Schizosaccharomyces pombe: one gene and its partners. The protein of the gene in region 2 interacts with the protein of the main gene of each other region in a pairwise test. Each region holds a gene or a part of one and is shown on either strand. Other genes may lie near its edges. The genes, in order: isu1, nap2 and utp21.

Evidence for each region.
Region 1: the proteins of nap2 (region 2) and isu1 interact in a two-hybrid assay, tested with the Schizosaccharomyces pombe proteins (2 studies listed by BioGRID).
Region 3: the proteins of nap2 (region 2) and utp21 interact in a two-hybrid assay, tested with the Schizosaccharomyces pombe proteins (2 studies listed by BioGRID).

What each region holds. Positions count from the first base shown.
Region 1 is NC_003424.3:517,062-520,819, reverse strand, and holds isu1 (Fe-sulfur cluster assembly protein Isu1), read left to right. Parts: upstream 1-1,868; 5' UTR 1,869-2,376; coding exon 2,377-2,955; 3' UTR 2,956-3,404; downstream 3,405-3,758. Other genes in the region: rna4 (Prp4 family U4/U5/U6 small nuclear ribonucleoprotein complex subunit), read right to left, coding at 3,573-3,758. UniProt on the Schizosaccharomyces pombe protein: Scaffold protein for the de novo synthesis of iron-sulfur (Fe-S) clusters within mitochondria, which is required for maturation of both mitochondrial and cytoplasmic [2Fe-2S] and [4Fe-4S] proteins.
Region 2 is NC_003423.3:2,984,147-2,987,904, reverse strand, and holds nap2 (nucleosome assembly protein Nap2), read left to right. Parts: upstream 1-2,005; 5' UTR 2,006-2,056; coding exon 2,057-3,196; 3' UTR 3,197-3,398; downstream 3,399-3,758. Other genes in the region: UV excision repair protein rhp23, read right to left, coding at 1-718, 760-832, 873-941.
Region 3 is NC_003421.2:573,456-577,213, forward strand, and holds the start of utp21 (U3 snoRNP-associated protein Utp21), read left to right. Parts: upstream 1-2,028; 5' UTR 2,029-2,081; coding exon 2,082-2,157; exon of another isoform or gene 2,158-2,216; coding exon 2,217-3,758. Other genes in the region: asp1 (inositol hexakisphosphate kinase/inositol pyrophosphate synthase), read right to left, coding at 1-1,017.

The DNA of each region.
Region 1 (3,758 bases), on a different chromosome or scaffold from region 2:
ATTTCAATTATACAGCTAATCTATGATAACACGATTAGCATCAAATATCTCTCATACCAAACTAGATGTTTATTATAATTGATCTTCTGTTTACCAGTACGTTGTAAAGGTAAACACTCACTTACAAATGATTAATTCCCGATTTGAAGATAAATTCACAATAACTTTTGATGGAGAGAAGACAAGTGTGGGGATCTCATGCTCAAAGCCGAATCCCTTTTAAGTTTCGAAATTCCAAGCATGAGTCCAATTCGCACAATACGCAAAGTTGCGTTTGCTTCGCTTTACAAGCTGGATAGAACGATTTCTAAGCTACTAAATTATAGCGCAGCAAAGGATAAATCCGTAGGAGTCTGTTATTTTTAAAAAATGCAATACAACTTCAGCATCCTCAACATATATTGCAATGTAACGTTAATATGCACAATCAAAAATTTACCAATTTGAATGAATAGCATTGCACTACGTTACATTCAACGTTCTTGAGTTCTGTTGCTATACACTCCAAGACACTTGTGGAGCATGTGAGATATAAAATTAAGAGAAGTCTCAGATACCACTGATTCAATTTCGAAATACCGATATTTACATTAAATAATAAAAACAAAATTTAAAAAATAGTTATAATTTCTCATATTTATCACACTCCTCAATTGCTTGGAGGCCCATTACTTTATTGCAATCTCCAACGGCCTTCCTATCTTAATTAAGGATGACGGGCGCAGTAATGTTATATCGCTAATTTACTGAATGCTGTAAAAAACTAGTCATCCTTTAAAAAAACCGTTAGACCGCTAAACTGTTATTGGTGAAATAGACTGTTTCGAATATTACTTTGTTACACATCAAATGTATAGTGCCTTTTTGCAACCTGTTCCTTTTTTTTTCGCCCAGCTCCGTTATTCCGTGATGCGGAACCCTAGTTCCAGCAACTATGGACTCGCTCTTGCCTATTGGAAAGTATGATCGTAGGTTAGCGGCCTTGGCAATGTTATCGGGATCGATTGTTGCAAAAAAACATACGCAGTGCAAGAGGTGCATTAAAAAAAATAAAAAAAATAAAAACGGCTTAACCATTTCTTATACAAACTTCTCTTTTTGAAAGATTATCCTTACACCTTTTTTATTTACATGTATAATCCAAACCAGCAACTAATTACATATCGAAATAAATGCAAAACAGATAAACAAATGGAAACCAAAAAACCGTTCAAGCATGTATCCCAGCTTCTAGTCGTGCATCCACCAACTTTTCATCATCATTTTTGTTAAACATACAAGCACCCTACCCGTTCTCTGCCGTCTGTCTCATGCCGTCCCTTCCACCTGTACTCCCTAACTGACTACTTTCTTTCTCGCTAACTACTTCTTGCCTGCTATCTGATATTCCTTCCTCAGTTAAAGGGGGACGGCATCTTCTTTCCAATTTCCATATCCCACATCCCACAACCTTGTTTCGAATATACTGTGAACACATATCCTTCACCATCGAACACTGGAATTTCCATATTGTGTATGGAAAACAACTTTATTTGTCTAGCTGTACATCATACTTGCATAAGCTTCAGACTGCTTTGTTGTGGCCTCCCCAAAACTTTTTCTTCGTAAATCTAGTAATACCGGATTACGTTTTAGTCCCTTAATTGGCGTTTACTGCTGAAACCGCATTTCCGATTCGCTTGCCACTATTGCCTTCCCTATTTTATTCGCTACCATCCACCTTAAGCTAGCTTTGTGATTTGTTAGGGAAAAACAGTCACATTTTCGACAAACAGAATTTCTTCTCATATCAGATGAGATAAAGATGGCCGAAAACACTCAAGACTGACTTGCACTATATATAGCAGGCACTGCTCTCAAACACTACTGACTCATACAACTCACCAACATTTAATATTGGACGTTTTGAACATAAATTTAAAGTTGTTTTGAAAAATAATTTCATTGAATAAAGCAATTCGTTTTGTGTGCTATAAGACTACATAACTCTGACACGATTTTTTTCAACCACGTCTTGATTGTTTATTGTCGATACATAGTTGAATCGATTTTTCCTTTCATCGAGTGTACATAGTTATTGTCATCTTATTAACCCGGTTTACAAATTTCCTTGCGTTACCCTTACACACTTTTTAACGTCATTTACGTATAAGGAGATTTAAAGGCAAAGCTGTTATTTTTTTTTATATAGATCAGATAAAATCTGAAACTTTGAAAACTCCCTGCCATCCCCCAAAAACACTGAAAACGTACTCAAGCCTTTTACTTGATACGTTTTGAAAACAAATCTAGTTGGATTTGTGATACAGATATTTTGTTAGATCTTGACGTGATTTGTCATCTGATTTTTTTCTTTTTTCTTTTGTTTTCCCTAAAATGAGTGTCTTCCGTCGCTCCGTTCAATGCGTTGGCGTTTTGCCTTCAATTTTGGCTCAACGCTCTTCTCTTCTTGCCCGTCCAGCGAATTTACAGTTTCTCAAAACGAACTCGTCAAAATTCGTCCCTCAAGTCACCGCAAACGTCTCTCGTCGTATGTACCATAAGAATGTTTTAGACCATTACAACAATCCTCGGAATGTGGGTACTTTGCCCAAAGGTGATCCCGATGTGGGTATCGGCTTGGTAGGTGCTCCCGCCTGTGGCGATGTTATGCGCCTTGCTATTCGTGTCAATAAGGATGGTGTTATTGAGGACGTAAAGTTCAAGACCTTTGGTTGTGGTAGTGCAATTGCCTCGTCATCCTACGTTACCACTATGGTCAAGGGCATGACCCTTGAGGAGGCTTCTAAAATTAAAAACACCCAAATTGCCAAAGAGCTTTGCTTGCCTCCTGTAAAACTTCATTGCTCCATGCTTGCCGAGGATGCCATTAAAAGCGCTGTAAAGCATTATCGCTCTAAACAATTAACGCCTGTTGGTACAACTGCTGGCGCTATTGAGTCTGCTACCGCTTAGAAACTTGATTGTAAAGTCATAGCTTTCATCTGTTTAAAAATCTGCTAATTTCCGCTCCGCTTTTTGACCCCGCCTCCTAATTTTCTACCCGGTCCTTTTAATTCCTAAACTGCGTACATGTAAACAGTGTTTTCCACATAAGATTGCTTGTCGACTTTGGCGTAAACATATGGTCTATGTGTTTGCTTGCATTCTTCCTCCCATTTAGCAATATATATTGATTAATGTTTCTGCACTATATGTATCTGGACTAAATTGATGCAAGTGCTTTCTTTCAAAATGCTGCTGATGCTTATTTGCTTGTTATTGTGGTTATAAAAATCATTACTCTGTACATTTTCCCCTTCCTTTTTTTTTAGTTCCTGCTATAGCATTTTATTCGAATCTTTATACGTCTAATGAAAAATAATTTAGAGTCTTTTATTTCTAAACTATAAGCTGTTTCTGTGTTTGCTTAAACTTTAGTAGTATACATGAATATCATCTTCTAGCTATTAAACCATGTAATATAAATGTTCATATATATTCATTGTTTCGTTGCCCATCACGCAAATAGTCAGAAAGGACTGTCTTGCCTATATTAAACTCATTACCAAAACCGTTTGCCACACCCAAATTTAAGGGTACCATAACTTGATTGTACGATCGTATCCTGATGAGATAAATCTGTCTCCGTAACCGTCAACACTCATAACCTTTTCTTCGTGTCCCACCATACTTTTAATCAATGAGCAGTTCAACGGGTTCCAAAGCTTTACGCAGCCATCATAACCACTCGTAGCGATGAATCTGTTAACACCTGA
Region 2 (3,758 bases):
GCTTGAGCCAATGCAGGATCTCCCTGCCCAATTTGTTGCAATATAGTTTCCAACATCTGTGGATTTTGTTGAACAATTTGTCTTAGCTGTTGAAATTGAGGAATGCTACGAAGGAAGCCTAGAGGGTCATCACCAACGGTATTAGAAGGTTGTTCTTGATTTTCATTTTCTGATAAAGCAGCTTGTTCAAAAAGATTCGCTGGCTGGCCAGTGGAAGTAGGAGCAAGGGCTTCGCTTTGCTGTTGCTGAGCAGCAAGGGCTGCAGCACTCTCTTCTCTCTGTCGATTGAGAATGTCTTCGGGAATACCAGTTAATAAGTATTCCACTGCCCGATCAGGGTTGTTAAAAGCGGCACGCATGGCTCTTTCAACTTCGCTGCGTTCGTATCCCATTTCTACCATATTTTCGACAGCAACATTTCGTTGAGCACCAACTGCCAATGTGTTGGCGTCTATTGGTGCTTCACTAGTGGCAGTAGTATCTGGGTTTGAAGGGGCAGCAGCAGCAACAGTTTGTGTAGTAGAGGTAGATTCCGCCACGGTAGAAGAAGGAGCTTCAACTTTCTTTTCAGGTACGGAAGCCGGAGGATTGGGGGCAGGACTGGCAGCTGATTTCGGAGTAGAGGTGGAAGTTTTGGGTCGTGAAACCATGCATACAATGAAATCCTGTTCTTTTATATTGTATTCGCCAACAGTTTTGTCATCAGCAAGGATTCGACCTATAAATTAGTATTTTACATATTAAAATTATGTTATATACCTGAGTAAATTAACTTTTGACGTTCGACTTCATAATTCTGTTGCGTTTGAATTTTTTCTTTTAATTCTGAAATCTGTTTACGTTAGAAAAATAATATGCCACAATTATCATACTTTGGTATCTGCAGAAACATCAGAAATAACAAATTTCTGCTGCTGTAGATTTTTGAATGTCAAATTCATTTTCAAAGCAAATTTGGCGTAGTGGGTAAATGTATAGTAATGAAAACCTCTTTGAAAAAACGTTGCATCAGAGAATAATTGTCAAGGTAGCAAACAAACACCATACACAAGTAACATTATTTGGTATCATCGCATTGTTTATCATAAAATGTGAATGAAAAATCTAAAAAGCAAAACAGTTTGGTTTATTTGAACCTAAAATTTAATGTAAGAAAATATTTCATTTGTTTGAAAGTGTTGTGAGTGAAACATTTACCTCGTTTCCAAGTCCATTAGTACTCAATACAGTGTATTAGTTTATTCTTTATTCTTTAATTTACTATATATATATATATTTTTCTGTTGGATTATTCATTCTCATTTTCTATTTATTTACAGAACGATCGCTAATAAATTTATATATATTAATTATGATTTGTTTATTTAAGTTAGCAATGACCGTTACAATAGCAGATTTTTATTTACAAGTTTGACTTTTGAATTATGTTCCGATAGTTTTTCGCTCCTCCGTGGGCAACTAACTAGTAAACAAATGCTACAATAAGGTTGTTTAACTCATGAATATAGAAGTATATGATACGTAGAGTTGTTTATTAATCAGTATCCATATATATATATTTTTTATAGAATTTTCAACTAATAATTGGGATACGATACATATGTTAAACTAATATGAATAGCGTAGACACTTTGCTTAAACGAGATATATACATTTGTTTATTTCATTGATTTTTTTTTTAGCTATTTGGACAGCTACATCAGAATTTGAAAGCAGCGCCTTTGGTTTATACAATCCATTACCTTTGTCAGAGAAAGTATAAGGAAAGCGGAGAGAAAAAAGTCAACGTATATGTAAACTTCCGGATGCTTTCTAATTTTACATATTCTTCCAAATAAAACCCCAAATACTATCCCAAACTATGATAGCCGCTAAACACATAAATATATTTCATTAAAGACTCTCATACGAAAAATGCTGTAAACATATCATTAAAATATGCTAAGCTGCAATAACGAGTCAGGCCCAACATCTCTTTGGTAGACTTCACGAAGATCCACAGTCCAACAACGAAGCTTTACCAATTTAATTTAATCTCCGTTTGCATTATTAAAATATGTCTAAAGGTCCAGGAGATTTTAAGAAGTCTTGGAATGGGTTTGCTGCTCAAACGCCACAAAATACTCCATCTTCAGATGTACATCTTAGTAAGGCCGCATTAGAAAAAGCTAGACAAACCTTGCAATCACAACTGGAGGACAAATCAGCACATGATGAAGTTAGCGGGTTATTGCGCAACAATCCGGCCATGTTATCAATGATTGAGGGACGCCTTAGCTCGTTGGTTGGAAAGTCGTCGGGATATATAGAGAGCCTTGCGCCAGCAGTCCAAAATCGTATTACAGCATTGAAAGGCCTTCAAAAAGATTGTGATGCAATTCAATATGAATTTCGTCAAAAAATGTTAGATCTGGAAACAAAATACGAGAAAAAATATCAACCTATTTTCTCTAGAAGAGCCGAAATTATCAAGGGTGTTTCTGAACCAGTGGACGACGAATTAGATCACGAGGAAGAAATATTTCAAAATAATCTTCCAGATCCTAAGGGAATTCCCGAATTTTGGCTGACTTGTCTTCATAATGTTTTCTTGGTTGGCGAAATGATAACACCAGAAGATGAAAATGTCTTGCGATCACTCAGCGACATTCGTTTTACCAACCTTTCGGGAGATGTTCATGGTTACAAACTAGAATTCGAATTTGACTCAAATGATTACTTTACAAACAAGATTTTAACGAAAACTTATTACTATAAAGATGATTTAAGTCCTTCGGGTGAGTTTTTGTATGATCATGCTGAGGGTGATAAGATTAATTGGATCAAGCCTGAAAAAAATTTAACGGTTAGAGTGGAGACAAAAAAACAACGTAACCGTAAAACAAATCAAACTAGATTGGTCCGTACTACGGTCCCTAATGACAGTTTTTTCAACTTTTTCTCACCTCCTCAGTTGGACGATGATGAATCTGATGATGGTTTGGATGACAAAACAGAGCTTTTAGAACTCGACTATCAATTGGGAGAAGTCTTTAAAGATCAAATCATACCCTTGGCAATTGACTGTTTCTTAGAAGAAGGTGACTTGAGCGATTTTAACCAAATGGATGAAGAAGACTCTGAAGACGCATATACTGATGAGGAGGATCTGTCTTCAGATGACGAAGAAATTTTGAGTAGCGAAATTAGTGATTGATATTTATATTGTGTTCGTTAGATTATGAGTAAGTTCAATGTGAGCAAAAATGAGAAATTGACGCTGAATGATAATTTCGCTTATAGTTTGGTAAGTTTATTGTGGCTTAAAAAATTAAAATGTTGATTTACGTCGTAGTATCCTATAAAATATTTAATAAGCGGATCTAAGTTAGGATTTGTCTTTAAAATTTCAATTTGTTTTCTTGTCTTTTTAAATTTTGAATTTTTTTTTCCAATGCAGGTATAAAAAATATACTAAGTAATTTTTTATCATTCTGTGAGTATATTCTACTTACATGGTTCCTTTTTTAATAGCTAGTATTAGGTTAGTACGCGCATTATTTGAAGCTGTGGTGTTATTTATTAGCATTTGCTTTTCTAAAATGATAATGCGGACAGCCAGCAAAAAGTAAGCGGCTATTACTATAACTATCTGCAATAGCTTTTTCTATTTATTTTATACGTCAAAGCTAGATCTGTTCGTACATTAATTAACAATCTTTAAGTGCATTGTTAGCTCACACCGAGTTTATATGATAAGGTATAAGAACTAGTACTAG
Region 3 (3,758 bases), on a different chromosome or scaffold from region 2:
GAAGGACCATCCATTCACATCAATCACATACGACTGACCTGAGACACGAAGAAGATCAAATCCACAAACAGGTTGCTCAAACGCAATTGATATCTTAGAGGCCATATTTTTTTCTTCCTCTGAAAGATTGGTGATAAACCTAATTTCCTTACCATGTGGATTCCTTCTCACAATTCCGTCCACTACGGGTGATTTGCGGGTTTCTGCATGGCTGTAATGAGGACCCACGGTATAAACCTTTACGTCTTCCGCGTTATCGACATTCATGAATTCCTCGTAAATAAAAGATCCTTCAGTGCGTGGAGCACAAAGATCTGGATCATAATCTGAAGACTTATTTGCGACTTTACGAAATAATTTGCGACCTCCCCCACCAACGGATTTAGGGAAATAAATATAAATATTGTGATCTTCACCATAGACTGGTTTTTCAACGTACGGCTTCTTTATTATCTTGCCATCAACAGAAAGAGTATCTTCGTCCAACATTTTTACTTCTGGGGTAGGAACCTCTGTGATTTCTATTCCAAACTTTCGACGCAACTTTTCTTCTAGGACTTTATTAATTTTAGGACCTCCATCACGAGAGCAAATCAAACGCTGAGGGGTGGAAACACGTATGGCATCAAGGATGTTCAACACAAGCCGTCTATCCCAAAGCAACTCTTGGAATACTACATCGTTTACACAAAAAGGTTTACGCAACTCGACATACTTTTCAGCTTTCTTCAATGGAAATCCACTAGAGTAGAAACATATCAAATAATCACAAGCAGGCCAATTTTCCACAGCTTCGTCCAAAATCATGTTGTCACCGAATACTATGGCTTCAAACTCACCTTCTGCGATGATTCTGTTCAGAATATTCCGACATGGTTTTGAGCGAGCTTTGGCATCCATGGCACAGATTCCAACTACATTTCGTTTAGTAGGTGTAACGATTGAGGAAACAGGCGACGCCGTTCTGGTAGATGACTCTGTGTCGATAGATGTAAGATGACTTGCATTTTGAATCATCCTTTATTATTCAACTACGTTAAAATATTTAATAACGCTTAAAACACCTTTTTCCCACTTGTATTCTTTCAATGGCCAATTCCCTCACTTGTTTGGTTATGAGAGATGTAGGTACACGGTGTTAGTACACACCTAGTCGATCAATGTTACTTGTACGGTTAACCTTACAATTCAGCGAGGTAACATTTGTTTACCTAACGAAATGTAAATAAATAAGAAATTGTTGCTTAAATGAAGTGGACAGTGAATATTGAATTTGTTTCGCAGTAATGCTTCTATGAATAACTTTTTTACTAATTATACTGGGTTAGTTAATTTGGGTTTTCATAAAAATTTTTTTAACCAAGCCCAGTTTCTGTTATTCTTCTTTCAAAAACGTATTCTTCCAGTTTAGTAAAAGCTTGTAAAATCCATCAATATTAAATTAAAAAAGAATTAGAAAAAATTTTTGTTTAATAGGTTTTTACTTTTCGTCCGTGCGAAAACACGTGGACTGGAATGTTTAAATTTTACAAGCAACAAACATTAAAAAATTACTTCTACTAGCTGGGTTCAAGAGTATATTGTTCTCGCACCTTTTACATAAAGAAAAATATTTTTTAAGAATTTACTGAAATTTATTTCATTATTTACAAGCCCAGAATTCCAACAATCATAGATTTACCTTACCACTTTTTGATATATGTGAATAGAGTTCTTTAGGTATTCTGAAGAGAATGTAGAAGTTTTGCTAACATGTTTTTACGATTAAATCTTACAATAACATTAGACATCAATGTTTAGTTCTCTTTTTTTTTTAATAATAAATAATTTGTTTACTTAAATAAACGGAACAATAGCAGAACGATTCTTATTTATAATTACCGAAAATTGATATATGACGGATTGACCATATCGTTAAACACATTTATCGATTTCAGTAAATACACTGTCGTAAATTAACGATTATTACTGTAGGTCGTAAAGGGTTGCTAGAATTTCACAAACACTGCTTTTTGCAAGTTACAGGACAAGAGCCATCCTTTGCCATTTTACGTGCTATTTGTGTTCTTTCCTGTGATAAAATGCCATTTGCAGAGAAGAAACGGAGGACTTATGAAAATGCGGTGAAGCCTCTAAGAAAATCTAGGATCTATGCTCGTAAGTCAAAATTCTCTCTTTTTCTTTTGGAATGAACAGATTGCTAACTGTATTTTTAGCCTTTAGATCCATCGGTCACGTTTCCAATGCAGTACCTTTCGACATTGAGGCTCGTGGAACCCATTTTTTGGTAACAACGTCGGTGGGAAACACATTTCAAACATATGACTGCGAAAAGTTGAATTTGCTTTTCGTTGGCAAGCAATTAGACAAGGAAATTACTTGTTTAAAATCCTTTAAAGATTTCATGCTTGTAGCTGCCGGATCAAAAATTTTTGCATATAAACGTGGTAAAATAATATGGGACATTGATGTGGAGCAAGAACATGGAACAGTCACTCATTTAGATGCTTTTGGTGAGTGGATTATTGCTTGTACATCTTCTCGTCATGTTTATGTATGGAAACACGCTTCTAAATATAGTGTTCCTGAGCTTCATACTACATTTCTTCCTAATACCAATGCAGATATCACTAGTTTACTACATCCAAGCACTTATTTGAACAAAATACTGCTAGGATTCTCAGATGGAGCATTACAGATTTGGAATTTGCGTGTTTCTAAACGTGTACATGAATTTCAGGAATTTTTTGGTGATGGAATCACTAGTTTAACACAAGCCCCTGTCCTCGATGTTTTAGCTGTTGGTACTATTAGTGGTCGTATTGTAATCTTTAATCTTAAAAATGGTTCAATACTCATGGAATTCAAACAAGATGGCCAAGTTCTTTCATGTTCATTCCGTACTGATGGGACACCAATATTAGCTTCTTCCAACCCCATTGGTGACCTTTCTTTTTGGGATCTTTCAAAGCGAAGAATTCAAAATGTTACATATAATGCTCATTTTGGGTCACTTCCAAAGATACAGTTTCTTAACGGGCAGCCCATATTAGTAACTGCTGGTCCAGATAACTCTCTTAAAGAATGGATCTTTGATTCAATGGATGGTGCTCCTAGAATCCTACGTTCTCGTAATGGTCATTACGAGCCACCTTCATTTGTTAAGTTTTATGGGAAAAGTGTGCACTTCTTGATTTCGGCTGCAACTGATCGGTCATTAAGAGCAGTTAGTTTATACCAAGACTCACAATCAACCGAACTATCTCAAGGCTCTGTTATTTCAAAGGCAAAGAAACTTAATGTTCGCCCGGAAGAATTAAAATTACCCGAGATAACTGCCCTATCTTCTTCAAATACTCGTGAAAAATATTGGGATAATGTTCTAACTGCCCACAAAAATGATAGTTCTGCTCGCACTTGGAACTGGAAATCTAAAACATTGGGTCAACACGTTTTACCAACTAGTGACGGTACGTCAGTACGGTCTGTTTGTGTAAGTTGTTGTGGTAATTTTGGTTTGATTGGTAGCTCTAAAGGCGTTGTAGATGTTTATAACATGCAAAGTGGTATCAAAAGGAAATCATTTGGACAAAGCTCTCTATCAGGCAAACCAGTCACTGCAGTTATGTTGGACAATGTAAATCGCATTCTTGTAACTGCATCGCTGGACGGGATTTTAAAATTTTGGGATTTCAACAAAGGAAACTTAATAGATTCATTAGACGTTGGAAGTTCCATTACTCATGCGATTTATCAAC